Linked DNA regions of Lepisosteus oculatus. The protein of the gene in region 1 interacts with the protein of each later gene in a pairwise test. Links are inferred from orthologs where the notes say so. Each region holds a gene or a part of one and is shown in the gene's direction. Other genes may lie near its edges.

Region 1 (7,297 bases):
TTCGCTATAGCATCAGCATTTACCCAAACTTGGACATAAACTGAAGGGAAGAATGTTAATATTATATCTATTGGCTAATAGAGCTACTTACCGAAAATATCTTTTTAAATAAGAAAACTAGGAATTTGAATAATCATATCAGACCCTACTCCTAAAGATTAAATGTATTCCAATAATTGAGGCACATCATGCACCCTTTTAGTATATTTGCCTTGAAATAAACTGTAGTGTTTTCTACTAGCAGTTCTGTTAGAATATACTGTAAAGTACTTCTCTGAGACACACCCAGTTTCCTGACACCCCTCAGGCTATTACATGTAAATCTGTTTCAAGAGAAATACAGATGTCCTAATCAGGAAGCATAGTTCTCATAATTAGCCAGCTCTTTTACAGTAAATGTTTCAAATACCAAGTAAGCAACTACAACTGCAAAAGCAATAGGAGGTAGAGAGACAATGATTAAAGTATAATTTGAGCCATTTCTTGGAAAGGGAATATTTTTGACTTGTAAAACAAAAATCCATCAATTTGTTATCACAAAACGGCACTGAAATAAAAACAAGACTCTTCGAAACTATTATATTTATTTCTTGTTTGGAATGCATTCGCCGTTATCCATCAGTGTAGGTTTTTGCACTTTCTAAATCCTCTGATGTCTCAATCCAAGTCCTTAGTTTTAATGATATCTCTCCCAGCCCTTTTCCCTGTCACTGATGATGATGATTAGTGTTTGGGTTCCTTATCGTTTTCTAATGATGTGTATAAATGCATTTTAAATGCTTTTTTTGTGAATGCATTTTATTTATAACCTAAAATGGGTCCAATTATACAAAGACTCCCTGTAGACACAGATGACAAGCTAACGATATGCCCACACCCTCTCAGATATGCTTCCCAGCTGTAATTGAAAGTGTCTCTTTGCTGATTTAGACTGTCATTGCCGAAAAGTGTCTGCAAAAAAGGAGAAAATAATCTCACAAGGTCAGAGGGTGTGACATTAGACAGAGGAAATTCAACAATATTTATTGTGATGAAAACCTTGGAACTTGATTAAATAGGAATTTAGTGATACCAGTTTGACTTTATAGGTATTTTAAAAAAATACATTAATTCTTATTTGGGAACTGACGCGTAAATTTGACCTAACTGGCTTAAACTTGGAAATTGAGAAGGTAAGATACTAAAGAAGATTAGTCAGTTTAATATCACATTCAGTTAGCCATTTTGTCTCCAGGCTTCTTACAGTGTTACATTGTGTCGTTGCTGTCACTTTTGAAGGAACACGATCAAGTGCCTTAATTGCACTGTAAGGTTTAGTAACTCCCACTGATTAGAATAAATAGATTTTTAATTGCAGTTCTCGTTATTGTTGAAGGCTGTTGAAAGCTCATACGTCTCTCTTGTGGCTGTTCCAGTTTAAGAGTAAACATGCAGAGATGTTATAATTTATTCTAAACTGTGTAAGAACAGTGACGTCCCAACAAGCTGTATTAATGTAAATAATCACTTTTTCATTATGAAAAATGGAATTTATTGTAATGAGAGATTAATATTTACATCCAGGTTTAAGATTAACTGGTGAAAAAATGAAACCTGTTTTATTTATGAACAGACATACATTACGTATAGCGGGTGGTACATGTGTTTATATATGCACATCAGGGTCATTTTTCTGCAGTCAAATCCTTTGGGGGGGTAATTCTGTCCTAATTATTTCATTTTTATTGGTTTTTTAAAAATGGAAATCTCTCTTTGTCTTCATCACCTTTCATAGTCATGGCATTTTAAAGATATTTGTCATTTACTTAGTCATTATATGTCATTTTTACCAACGTTGTTGGGGGGGTAGTTATTTTAGTCTGCGTTGCACTGTAATTCAAAGTTTAGATACAGTGGAACTTCATTCCAGGTTTTCCTCTCAATAGTGATGTTGGACAAAGAGGAATGGCTAATGTGGTGGTGGTGGTGGAGGGGAGTCCCCATTACCTGTAAAGCGCTTTGAGGGGAGTGTCCAGAAAAGCACTATATAAGTGTAAGCAATTATAATTATTATTATTATTATTATTATTAATGCCGAGATTCTGGCTATTGTTATTCATTTACAGCCATCAGCCACCCCCCCGCTGAGACACAAGTGTCCAGACTGTCCCTGCTGTGGGTCCCATGCGTCTGTGTGTGTGCCAAGTCAGCCCATTGTTTAGGAGTTTGCTCACAGCTCTGCACACAACATGTGGCCTTTCACAGCCAGGCTGTCACTTCTCTCACTGTTGGGAGGGAGGAAGCCTATGGACACAGCTGACTAGGCCCGGCAAGAGGGAAAGGTTGTTTAAATCGATTCCCTCCCTGTGTTCTTGCCCTGCTGGCTATCTGTGCACTATAGGTGAATGATTTCCCCTGTCTTTCAAAAACACAAGACATAGTTGAGCTATTGGGGGAAAAGCCCTAATAGCACTACAGATGCTCTTGGATGGTGGAAACGAAAACAAAAATGGAATGGCTAACCTTTGTAACAAGAATGTAACCACTGTAGACTTTGTGACCACTGTTAAGTATTAATGCACCTCAAGGGCTCACGCAGACTGACAAAGATACTGGTCATCAAAGCTGTGTTTCCTCTTTTAAAGCAGTAGTTTACCAGAGCTGTGAAAGTATTTGTCCCCCTCCTCCCCAAGCAACAGAGCAACAACTGAAAGCACATTTGCGTGTGGTGTTGTTCCGGCAAAGTACGAATCTTTTCCAAGGAAAAACAAAAGAGTGCAAAAGTCATACCGCACAAAATTGTCGGTCACAGTGGGCAGTGCTTTGCAGGTGAGATCTGCAGGGCATAGTGCAGTTCATCTTGTCCCTCTGGCTATAATTATTCTTACTGGCAAGCTCAGAAGGCATGCCTATATTACTGCTAGGGTATGATTCTTAAAGGACAATGCAGACTTTAAAGAATTTTAGAGAAAGAAAGGTACTTTAGAGAAAGGTACTTTGGTGACGCGGTCCGCTTTAAAAGCCTACTAAAACAATAGAAATGCATCAAAGTATGACGCACATCTTTTCAAAGTCCTTCAAAGTTTTCCAGTGTTCGTATACAAGATGAAGTCATTTGAATACAATTGGTAGAGCTTTATACTCTTTCATTCTCTCAGTTAGATTTGAGTCATATTTGAAGCTGATATTTCAAGTCATCGTGTATGTGATTTGTAGGCTTGGTTTTCTCAACACCACACTCCCAGATGAACAGAGTACTCTGACTGACGTTGGAGACCTGCATTTTGTGTTCGTTTAGGGTCTGACCTGCTATTTTTAATAAATGTAAGAACGTTTTATTTTTACTAGCAAAAGGCCTTCTGCAAGAGACACATGGGTGGAGTACAGTGATTCATAGTGACGTCCAGTAATTCTCTCTTAAATAACAATAACTAGTAACTAGTTTTCCTAGTTTTTCAGTTAATTATTAATTTACTTGCGCATAAAGTATATGGGTATTTTCAGGTGGGTAGCTGCGTCAGCATGCGTAGGCTGCAAAGGAACAAGTAATAGGTTTATTCCATGCTGAAAAAAAGACGAAAGAGAACACAGCTATTCTGTGAGAAATTGCAATCGGCCTTTGCTTGAAGGAGGCTATATTGTACAAGCCCAGAGTGGAGTTCAGACAGGACTCCTGGCTTAACACCCCCCTGCTGATACACTGGATGATTTTGAAACCCACATCCACTTGTATATAAAATGTCTCGGTACACTGGCGTAATTTTAATTTTTCTTCTCAAGATTCTTAACTGAAACGACGTTTATTCAACAGTATTTACTCGGGGGTATTCTACTAAAAGAAGTCATTAACGCTTTCCACGTTTTAAGGACAAATTTCCGAAGGGCTGCATAAAGCATGTTTTGAGCGAACAGAGGGAGCCAGTTTAACGCGACCTTCACCTTTAAACCGGAGAATTCAGCGTTTCACCTCTGCCGGCGTGAACGCCAGATCACTGCTCGCACAGGGCTCCATGCAAATTACTTGCACTCGGGCTGAACCAACGTTTCGCAGGAGGGGCAGTGTTGTAGAATGGGGAGCAGATTTCATTTTATACACTTATTAACAAATCGAGTGAAAAAAAATATTTTGTGATATTATGTCTTTAGAGGGTCTCTTGAGTCTTTTTCAAACACGTTCATTCCTGTGGTTCTGGGGAATGATTGCTAGAACAGATACCCCTATTTTTCTTTTCAAATGGTGAGTCCCGCCATAGCAGCGCTAGCTGGTTACAGTCTTGCCACATCATTGCGAGCTTTTCAATGGACCTATTTCGGGCTGCAGCCTCGTTATCCGGGCGAAGTGCGTGTAAATAATGAAGCGCAAATACAACGGGACGTCCGTAATTTGTAGATAAGGCTCGGATTCCTCAAATCACTTTCACCTTCGTCCGGGGACCGTGGATCTCGGGAGTGTTACTGAAGTCGGATTACACGGCAGCGGCGGTGATGATACTGCGAGCCCTTTGATTAGGCTGAGCTTCATCGGGCAGATGCGCAGGCATCGCGTGTTCGGGAAATCCGTTCCTAAGATGTGACAAATAATGGTTTTGTTTTCCCGGAAAACGCTGTCTTAAACGCGCAATTGGATGTTCCTTTAATCCTTCACGCTATTGCATCAGGATTTCCATTACAAAATTAAAAATGGACTGGCAGCGTAACAACAGAAGGGGGTCTGTTTTGAATTTCACCTTTTAGTTATTTGTCTCTTCCAATATTAAGATTAAAAACACGAAGCGGCTTTCCTATGTAATAGTGTTATTTTAGTGCAAGCAACGCGATTTTGAGCCTTTTCTGTCTTGGTACCCAAGGTAGCTTTAAAGTATTTTGTGCGTATTTGCGTGGAGATGCTCTGCCGGGATGTTGGCCTCGATTCCAGCGGTACACTGATGATATTGAGCCTTTGCAGGAAGGGGTCTTTGATTACTGATTGCGGTTATCAGTATGAAAAGCAGCTGTTGATCTCATTTAATTCAGCCTGTTTAAAATCTCGCTTCAAGTCGTAAATGGCCATTTATCTCTGTTTTCCATCGAACAATTACAATTCGCAGCTTCACTGGGAGGAATCTTTTGCACATGAACGACTAAACACTGAATTGCTCAAATAAGTTTGATAAGCTTGAGTATTTTCAGGCTAAAAGTCCACTTAATTTATATTGTCAGGAAAATAACTTTTAAAATTGGACTGTATATTACACTGTTTAATTGCACATTGCTGGCTCTGAAACCAAACTTTCACAAATCAGATTTGTGCTGCTCAAGAGACCTACTTTGGCTGAGACCTCCCTGCCGCTAGGGGGCGCCCATGCTGGATTCCAGGATGAAGGACGCTTGCCGGATCTGCGCCCGGGAGCTCTGCGGCAACCAGCGCCGCTGGATCTTCCACACGGCCTCCAAGCTCAACCTGCAGGTGCTGCTGTCCCACGTGCTGGGCCGGGAGCTGACCCGGGACGGCAAGCGCGAGTTCGCCTGCAGCAAGTGCGCCTTCATGCTGGACCGCGTGTACCGCTTCGACACGGTGATCGCGCGGATCGAGGCGCTGTCCATCGAGCGGCTGCAGCGGCTGCTGCAGGAGAAGGAGCGGCTTAGGCAGTGCATCGGGAGCCTGTACCGCAGGACCAACGGCGACGAGGCGGGCCCGGAGGGCAAGGCCGGAGACGGCACGGTGGACATCTCCGGCTTGCCTGACCTCCGGTACAGCGCTCTGCTCCAGGAGGACTTCGCCTATTCGGGCTATGAATCCTGGGCCGAGCTCGAGGAGCAAACGGCGGACCCTCACCACCACTGCCACGCCTCCGAGATCTCCGTCCACCGCTCGAGGAGGTGCCGCGGTTGCGCGGCTCTGCGCGTCGCCGACTCGGACTACGAAGCCGTCTGCAAGGTGCCCAGGAAGCTGGCCCGGAGCATCTCCTGCGGGCCTTCCACGCGGTACTCGGCCAGCGTCGTGAGCAGCGTGTGCGGAGAGGAGCCGGCGGCCGTCGCCACCGTGCCCGAGTCGGTGGGCGAGACGAGCGGGGAAGACGCGGACGTTTCGGAGAGAATGAGTCCCGGCTCGTCGGTGGAGTCCCTGGACACGGCTGTTGAGATGGGGCAGCCCGCCGCCAAGGACGAAGAGGCAGAGAGAGAGATGAGAGAGGACCAGAAGTTTGATTCCTGGCCGGAAGAGGCCCCGCAGCAGCTAAATATGGCCGCGCAGGCCAACAGGCTGGACTTGGCTCTCAGCCTGGTGAAAAACGTTGAGTACAGGCCCATCCAGAGCCCACGGGGAAGCAAACTGCCAGTCCTGGTTAAATCTGTTCCCCCAGGACCTAACAGCAAAATGGCCTTTGCCGACTTGACACTCAGGACACCTTACGGCACTGGCTCCGAATTTCCCGCCAAATTTCAAGAGATGGTGCCTCCCAGAATTCAGCAGGACATGCACTTGGAGCTGTCCGAACTAGAGGAGCTCTGGCAGGATGTCTATGAGGAGTACATGCCCTTTAGCTTTCAGGTAGACGTCCCAGTACTGCCATTCAGTGACATCTTCACATCCTTCACTCTGCTGTCAGTGTGCTAAAAAATAGTGCAGCTGGATAAAGAATTTTCACTGTGACTTTCCTTGGAGTATTATGTCTGATCAGGCAACGTGAAGTGGGGTTTGTGATTTTTCTAAGGTTTTTTTTAGCCCATGTCAAAGCATCTTGTTGGGCGACGCATTCCAGATGGTTTATGAATTCTAATGTAGGTGAGATAGCTGTAGAAGGGGAAGGAGTGATCTTTAAACAAGAAATGATACCAGGACAATAGTAAAACCCTGACAATCATTTAGACATTAACCTCCCTTAGTATTATCTGTCGGCATTAGTATAAAATTGAATCTTATGACCACATTTATGTATAAAATTTGGTTACATAACATTATTTGAAGCGGTGCTTCTGGAGGGAGTTCTTTGATCTCTCTAAATGCAGACAGTGTCTTCCCTCTGCTTCTGCACTGCTGAAGCTCAGACATGTAGCGAATGTCAATGCAGTACTTTTATGAATATGCATCATATTTCGTGAGTATTTGAATGGCCAGCAAATCGTTGTGTGATCTGTCCTGGGTAATCTTATGTACTTTCAGAAATTTTAGACCACAGTGCTCTTGATAATCTGCTCCTTGATTGCCTTCTCTGGACATGTGCCAGCCTCTTGTGATCATTCTGGTAATTTCAGCATTGGCATGACAACAGTTACCTCAGTGACGTGATGCAGCACAATAGTTACAGCCACATCCTCTCCTTCTAGAGCCAAGGACAGT
Region 2 (7,952 bases), on another chromosome or scaffold:
AGGCATTGTTCCATCTGGACCTCGAGTAAAAGTGCACTTAACAAGCTTTCGTGTGATTGGGAATGCCTCACTGCACAAGCTGTATTGCTGGTGAGAGGGCTATAAAACAAATTGACAACTTATTGTGAAAGTACATAATAATAATAATAATAATAATAATAATAATAATAATAATAATAATAATAACTCATAAAATCCTATTTCCAGACAAAAAAAAACTCTGGTTTACTTGTTTCATCTGTTTGAGTTACTTGTGTGTTAACAACAACAACAAGTACAACAGCAACAATAAAAATAATAATAATAATCTTTACACTCATATAGCATTTTCTGGACACTCCAATCAAGGTGCTTTACAGGTAATGGGGACTCTCCTCCACCACCACCAATGTGCAGCATCCACCTGGATGACAGGACTGCAGCCATAGTGTGCCAGAACGCTCACCACACATCAGCTATCAGTGGGGAGGAGAGCAGAGCTACATAAGCTATAACTATAGTATTCTCATACCAGAAAATGTTGCGTTTCTTCTTTCCAACAGTATATATGCTTTCTGAATATGTAAATACATAACTGCACTGTCCTTTAATATATTAGTGCACTGTATTGCTTATATACATGGCATCGTATCATAGTACAGCACACCCTTGCTTTTCCAGACTATTGCTGGGGAAAGGGGGTGTCTGGTGTTGCCAGCTCTCCATTAAATTACCAATGAGATATTTCAAGCTTAAAAAAAAACACTTGTGGAAATACATATATCAGAAATAAACCAGGCTTTTTTGGAATGGTAATAGACTACTGAAAGCACATTCAATTGATCTCTGAGGACCCTTGATCACCATGACTTGCCGACACCTATAGATGTAAATCTGTGAGCCATCAGCATTTGTGCACAGTAATGCTGAGATCCTTTCCTTGCTGATTTATGTCCTGGCATAGACATTTCTTGCTTGTATGCTTAAGTATTTACCAGAAGTCTCATCAGCACTTAAAATACATTTGCTGTAAAAAAACAGTTACTAACATGCTTTCAAAAAATGAAATACTTCCTTTTTGCTCAAATATCTACTCCCTTTGGGACAGGACAGAGGCGAATGGGAAAAGACTGTTAGTCCTATCTTCTATAGCTAATGAAATTGAAGAAATATGGTATATAGATCTAGCTTCTGGCACTCTTCATCAAACAACAGCATTGATGCAGTGATCAGAACTGCAACTCATGTCAATACATGTTTGTCCGAGAGAAACAGATAACTGAGCTGGGATACCCTCCCACACACATCCCTACTTACCTCTGGATAATGCCATCTGAAGGCAGGATATGATTCTGGCCAACTCCTGAGACCCAGCCAGAGGAGCTGAGTGTGGGTCTTGGGAGGGGGCGACTCAGGTGGAGAGTTGAGAACTTGCTGGACATCTGTGCAGCAAGGCCAGGTGCCCCCCGAGCACAGCCCTGAGCTACAAGTGGAACCAGGGGCCTCAGCAAACCTGTGTACAAGGACATATATTAGAAACACTGCATCCAGTGACCAAGGAATGCTATTAACTTAGATGACAGCAGCATAAGAAAAAACTTACTAAATGTATTATTAACCCATACAAGTCTTAATCTTTGCTTCAAAATAAAAAGTTGTATATAAGGAAAATCTTGTCAAACAAGTCTTGTTGCACTCATTTTCCTTGCAAAGCAAAATGTTAACAATAATTGGAGGACTTCATAACCCTGCATCTATTACATTCTTCTAAATACAGCCATTACTCCACTGGTTTTTGAATCATGTATATTTTTTTCAGAAACTAGTGCAGTAAAAAGAGGTGGCACCTATTCTAATATTCAATGGATTGCCCAATCTCAGCTATAATTAATAATAATAATTGCTTGCATTTATATAGCGCTTTTCTGGACACTCCACTCAAAGCGCTTTACAGGTAATGGGGACTCCCCTCCACCACCACCAATGTGCAGCCCCACCTGGATGATGCAACGGCAGCCATAGTGCGCCAGAACGCTCACCACACACCAGCTATCAGTGGGGAGGAGAACAGAGTAATGTAGCCAATTCATAGAGGGGGATTATTAGGAGGCCATGATTGGTAAGGGCCAATGGGAAATTTTGCCAGGACGCCAGGGTTACACCCCTACTCTTTTCGAGAAACACCCTGGGATTTTTAATGACCACAGAGAGTCAGAACCTCGGTTTTACGTCTCATCCGAAGGATGGCACCTGTTTTTTTTTACAGTAGTGTCCCCGTCACTATACTGGGGCATTAGGACCCACATAGACCACAGGGTGAGCGCGATCTGCTGGCCCCACTAACACCTCTTCCAGCAGCAACCTTCCAGCTATCTAAACGCATTTATAACTAAACGGGTCCTAAGTCATAGCTATAGACATAGTTTTGTTGTGTAGGTTGTACAAATTTCACCCTAAATAACGCAATATTCACTTATAAACTTAATTATAGTAAGCCGCTATAATTTCTTGGACCAGCTTCCGTGTCAAAACAGTAGTAACATGCACATACAAACATGACTGAACTGGTATGTAACATAAAAATAACATACTCCAGATGAGTCTGCAAGTGCAATATTCTAGTGATCTTAATGAGGAAATGCAAAACATATAAGAACCTACAACCTACAGTAAATTACAAATCACAAATGAATTCATAGCTCTGTCCCCCCGAAGAATGTTATACGTCAGTATAAATTAAAAAAAAATATTTGATTTGATGATAACCACAGTTACAATCATCAACAAATAATGTTTTAGGAAATATAAATCGAAAATTTACACACCACATCTTCTCAAGGTGGCCGCCATCTTTAATCCCCACCACGACCTCCAAACTACGGCACATCAGTTAGAACAAATAGTGCGGGTAGGCAAGAGGGACGTGATGTGGAAAAAAATATCATTATTTTGGTGCTATTATCAATAATGGGCGAATTCATATGGTTTTAAAGTTTAAAGCATGAGAAAAACAGACTATTCCGGATGAGAGGCAGTGTATAGTATTGGCACTGAGGCAAGCAGAGAAATGCAATAGTCTGCGAGGAATTAATAAGGAATGGGCTGTTTCGGTAATTGTAACTCAAGAATAAGTGACTGGATATTTGAAGATATACTGGTGAATTTTAATTTTACTTTTCACAATAATATTCACATGGCTAAAAAGGAGTAGAGACAGAGGGTGGGAGTTTAGGGAGAGAAAGAAGATTGAAAATCCCAGCATGGTTGAAACAGTAGTTGACAATGTGGACTATGGTTTTGATTTGTGTTGGGACTGGAGTAAGGAAAGAGCATGAGAAAAGGGAGGAATTCTGGTTGAGCTGCAGTTTTAGCTTGGAGGACATCCAAGAGGGAATGACAGTAGTCTATAGGACAGTACCAGGGCTTGGAGTGGAGGTTGTGTGGAATAGCTGGTAAGGAAAGGATGAATTCTGTGAAGGATGCTCAAGAGGAAGGCACCAGAGAGGAGAAATGTGCTTTAAACAGTAGGTAGAAGAGGCAAGAATGACACAGAGCTTCTTGGCAGATGAGGAGGGGAGGGAGAGGGTGAGGGAGAGGGAGGTGGAGTCAGAAGAAACAGAAATAGAGAAAAGAAAAAAAAGACCTCAAGAGGCATTCTTATGAATGTGATTCCTAAAGTGGATCCTATAGTCCCTCATGTATCCTCTGGTCTCCACAGAAGTTACAAACATTCCCACATGAGTGTGTTGTCTTCTACCCAGAGTTTTTATTCCTTTTCTTTCTCCACTTGTTTTCAAAGTTATGTCCACTGTTCAGATGTCTCTGTCTTGAGGTCAGGTCTAATACCAGAAGCCTAGTCTTGTTGTTTCCTATCATATGCCAGCTATTTTCTATTATAACATGGTACTTGTTCTTTTGCTTAGCACTTTGAGTTTTTTAAAAGCACTTTTGAATAAAATGCTATTATTATTTGTTCTCATGTAGCAGCCTCTTTTAGCTCAGTGTTATGTCTTAATTCAGAGTGTCTTCCCTTATGTATTGCACCTTTGCAAATATAAGGATTGCTTACAAATTCTTATATATTCTATATACTGCACATATTTTTATATTTGTGTTTAAAAATTCTTTAAATGCTTGAACTTTAAAATGCTTAGTATTGAGCTTTTTTATCTATGGTTGATACCATGCATAAAGTATTTTTGAAATACATTGATTGCTGGCCATTTCTGAATAGTTTATAACTTTCTCTCTGTAATGTTATTTTTACTTTTTTGAGACTGTGATCTGCATGAAAACGTGCTCTGTAAGGTGGTGTAAGGAAACATCAACTCAATCAAATGTGTCATCGCTAGTTTAAGTAAACTTAAAGTCAGTTATTTCTAAAACCTACAGGCTAATCTTAAATAACCCAACAGCACAGAACTAAGACACCTTCAAGTCTAAAGTAATTGTTAACACATAACAGACTGGCACACAGTAACATATTGTACAATGTGTTATGCTAGCCTTGACAACATTAAACACCATCCCTCTGGTGTTCTTGTGCTGGAACATGCTGCTAAATGTCTAAAAAAAGTTGACTATTCTAATGTAAATTTCATCACCCTGCACAAAAGGCAGCTACAAAGATCTGCATTTTGAAAACACTAAATAATGCCAATGACTACTGTATATTGAATTATTTTTGTATTCTTAACACGGATTTTCCTTTTACAATATGTAAAACAGATGTATAACCTTGGGCGGAAAAAACTGCTTCAATTTAATTTTGTCTCAGTAACAACCTTGTGGCGACTGGCCCATGCACACAGCTCTGACTCACCATGTGCTCGGGAAAGGGCCCGGTCCCAGATCTTGGGGCTCTCATTGGCTTTCCCGCAAGTCACTCGGCCGTCGTAGACCCGCCCCCTAGGAGTTGCTCTTTGCGGGCCCCTCGGTTCAGGAGAACTGCGCATGTGCCATCTTACTCTGTCAGAGGGCAAAGGGGGCTGGAGAGGCGGTGTGGGTTGTCCGGGAAAAGCGCTTTCGAGGCTGAACGTACCTATCATGTTTAACTAAAGAGGGATCGTAATCCTTTACAGCTCGCAACGACTCTAAAAGTATATCAACAACAATGCTGCGCGTCTGTGGAAAAGCAGCCAGTGCTGCAGCTCAAGTAAGTCCGTTTCTTACAAACGAAAGTCGGTCCTGTCATTCACTGATCCGACTCTTAAGAGGCCTGTTAGACGTGCATTTATTGATACAATAGGGGAGTTTTCTTGCCTCAATGTGTGATAGAAATTCTAAAAACCGTAAGATTGAAGTAAAAATGCTTTCCGAGCTATCGTTCTTTTGCATTTTCTAAAGTGGTTTAATTTCTATGGTGCATGTAAAATGACGCACAGCACGTTATTAGGCTGGGCACGGTGTGTCATTTTTACATGATTGACGGCAGTGATGAACGAATTAGCGCAGAACATTCCAGGATCGACATAGATGTTATCCAATAAGTGTCTTCAAAAATGAATAAGGTGGGATCAAGCGCCCGGCTTTGAAGTAGTTTGGAAAGTAAAGTGGGAATTAAATTTGCGAGGAGTGGCTTCATCAATGTCAAACTGTAATTTCTTCGTGCTGATACGATTTTTGTTTTAAGAAAATGCTGCTAGTATGTAGTACAAACAGCGTAATGATGTTTGGCGTTAATTAAGTGCTCAGTTAATCGTAATAAGAAGCGCAGTTGCATGAAAGGATCTGAACGTTTTGGATGACAGAAGGACATGACCTTGTTAAAACTTTTTTTCATTAGCCAGCGGAACATGTATATGAATCGGGGTTTCGACATTGGCTATACCTGGGTGTAAGAGACAGGGGAAATGTATTTACATTACCAAGTTCTGATTTAGGGAGACATGATTTCATAGCGTAACTTGAAATGATCGTGCTACTCCTATAATGCATTGTTTTACCCCTAGTGAGTAGGTCTCTTAATACTGTTTTGTAAAACTAAATGATTTTAAATTGCAGCTCCAAATGTCTTTTTGTTATTGGAGATTTTGAAATACTCTGTTTTGCTTTTCAGACAAGGTTGATGCTCATGAAAGCTGTCGACCTCGATCGGTGTAAAATTAGGTTTGCATAACACATCAAACATATTCCCTAAAAGTAAAATAAACTGGGATAGTACGATAAACTAGTTGTGATTCAGCTTTATTCTGCTTTCCCACTTTAAAGTGTTTTATGAGAGTGTTGCATCTGATTTTCCCTTTATTTCGTATAAAAGAGATAAACACAAGTGCTGCCATCAAAAATTGCCAAGTATCCCTGTGGCATATTTTAATATACACCTTGCTCACTAAATATGTAGTGTATTATGAAACTCGATAGCTGATACATTTAGTGAGCTCAGCAGTCTAGGTGCCCCATATACGGTGCCTTGCAGAAGTATTCACATCCCTTCCAGTAATACCTAATTTTGCTGAGTATGAATTGTGTATGAAGATTTTTTTGAACACTGCTAATCAAATCTTGATTGTAAGTGAAGAAATTTATGAGTGAATAAGTTACATGTACATGTGAGCAAAAACGGCAAAGAAATTCAAAACGAAAATGTTAATTACAGGAATATCTTTTTCTAGATACTGTATCTTCTTCATTCCTTCTCCTCCTCCCTGGGCTGCCTGCCCCCTTTTCTCACTAAACCAGCATTCCGTCTCTTCACAGCAGTCTGTTCCAAGACCAGGCTTTCTAACCATCTCTTATTCCTTTACAGATGTCATAATTATAATATCATTCCTAAAGGATTTCCTCTGAGATTTGACACTTTCCTTTGACACACCTGAAGAGGGCTTCACAGCAGAAACGTTGTGTTTCATTTCTTCTCTTTTCAGCATGGAATAAACCTTTAACTTGTTCCTTTGCAGCCTGTGCATGCTGATGCAGCTCCCTACTTGAACTGTTACAGGAATATGATGTTTTCTATATGTCTTTCGCCCATAAAAGTGTCAGGTTGAGCATTCAAGTTTGTATTGGCTTTAAAAAAACATCTGTAGTTTAATTAATTTTTTTTAAGGCACTGTATATAAGATAAGATCACTTTATTGGCCATATACAATTTCTTGTATTAGGAATTTGTCTTTTCGCATACCCCAACTTGCTTTCCATGAGACACACAGACAGGGTGAGAAGCTTGGGGTTGGAGCGCAGGGTCAGCCATTTATACGGCGCCCCTGGAGCAGGTTGGGTTAAGGGCCTTGCTCAGGGGCCCAATGGAGTAGGATTCCTCTGCCGGCTGCGGGATACGAACCGGCAACCTTCCAGCCACAGACGCAGATCCTGAGCCACAGAGCCACGAGGCATTAGAATGGCAACAAATGCTGTTGATTACAGTGCTCATTTGTTGTGGTGTTAGTGCCTCTTTGTACAATTACTGTATATACAGTAGGTCACCGGTGTTCATTCTGTTCTATCCATTACACTTTACTTTTTCCCCCCTAAATAGCTTAGACTGTACGCTGAATCAGGAAGATTGTTTTATAAAATGTACTTGTGAAGATTTGTGAAGTATTTGAACCTCAAATGTACGGAAGGAGCCGAGGAAGTAAAGTGAGCAGATGAAGTGACCGCGCCGGTATTTTCCTTTGCTCTCTGCAGACCTGCCTGTGCGGTAAAGTGTCGGTCCGTCCGCTGCTGCCTTGCCGGCGCTACACGACATCAGGAAGGTCTGGGTACGTACTCTCACTCCCGGGTGTCATGGAGGAAGAATGGGAGTTCAGTTTCCTGCACCTCCTCAATCTCGTTTACAGAAAAATAACTGGTTGGGCCTTTGAGACGGACTGATCTGTGATGTGCAGTTTTTCAGACAGCGCACACGTTGTTGGTATAGTACAGTAGTTAGGTTTCTCTCAGGCCCTGTCTAGCCTTGAGATACAGTGTAATTAATGTTTGCATGAGTACTTCTCTTTGGACCTTAAACTAACATAGTGTAAGAAAGAAAA

The links. The genes of interacting proteins can lie anywhere in the genome.
Region 2: the proteins of pde4dip (region 1) and immt interact in a two-hybrid assay, tested with the Homo sapiens proteins (2 studies listed by BioGRID and IntAct, with this or other methods). The link is inferred for Lepisosteus oculatus from reciprocal best matches to the Homo sapiens genes PDE4DIP and IMMT.

What each region holds. Positions count from the first base shown.
Region 1 is NC_090704.1:7,911,388-7,918,684, reverse strand, and holds the start of pde4dip (myomegalin), read left to right. Parts: upstream 1-4,277; 5' UTR 4,278-5,320; coding exon 5,321-6,508; intron 6,509-7,297. UniProt on the Homo sapiens protein: Functions as an anchor sequestering components of the cAMP-dependent pathway to Golgi and/or centrosomes.
Region 2 is NC_090696.1:35,614,529-35,622,480, reverse strand, and holds the start of immt (MICOS complex subunit MIC60), read left to right. Parts: upstream 1-4,939; 5' UTR 4,940-5,092; coding exon 5,093-5,134; intron 5,135-7,608; coding exon 7,609-7,682; intron 7,683-7,952. Other genes in the region: mrpl35 (large ribosomal subunit protein bL35m), read right to left, coding at 1,297-1,492, 2,805-2,829. UniProt on the Homo sapiens protein: Component of the MICOS complex, a large protein complex of the mitochondrial inner membrane that plays crucial roles in the maintenance of crista junctions, inner membrane architecture, and formation of contact sites to the outer membrane.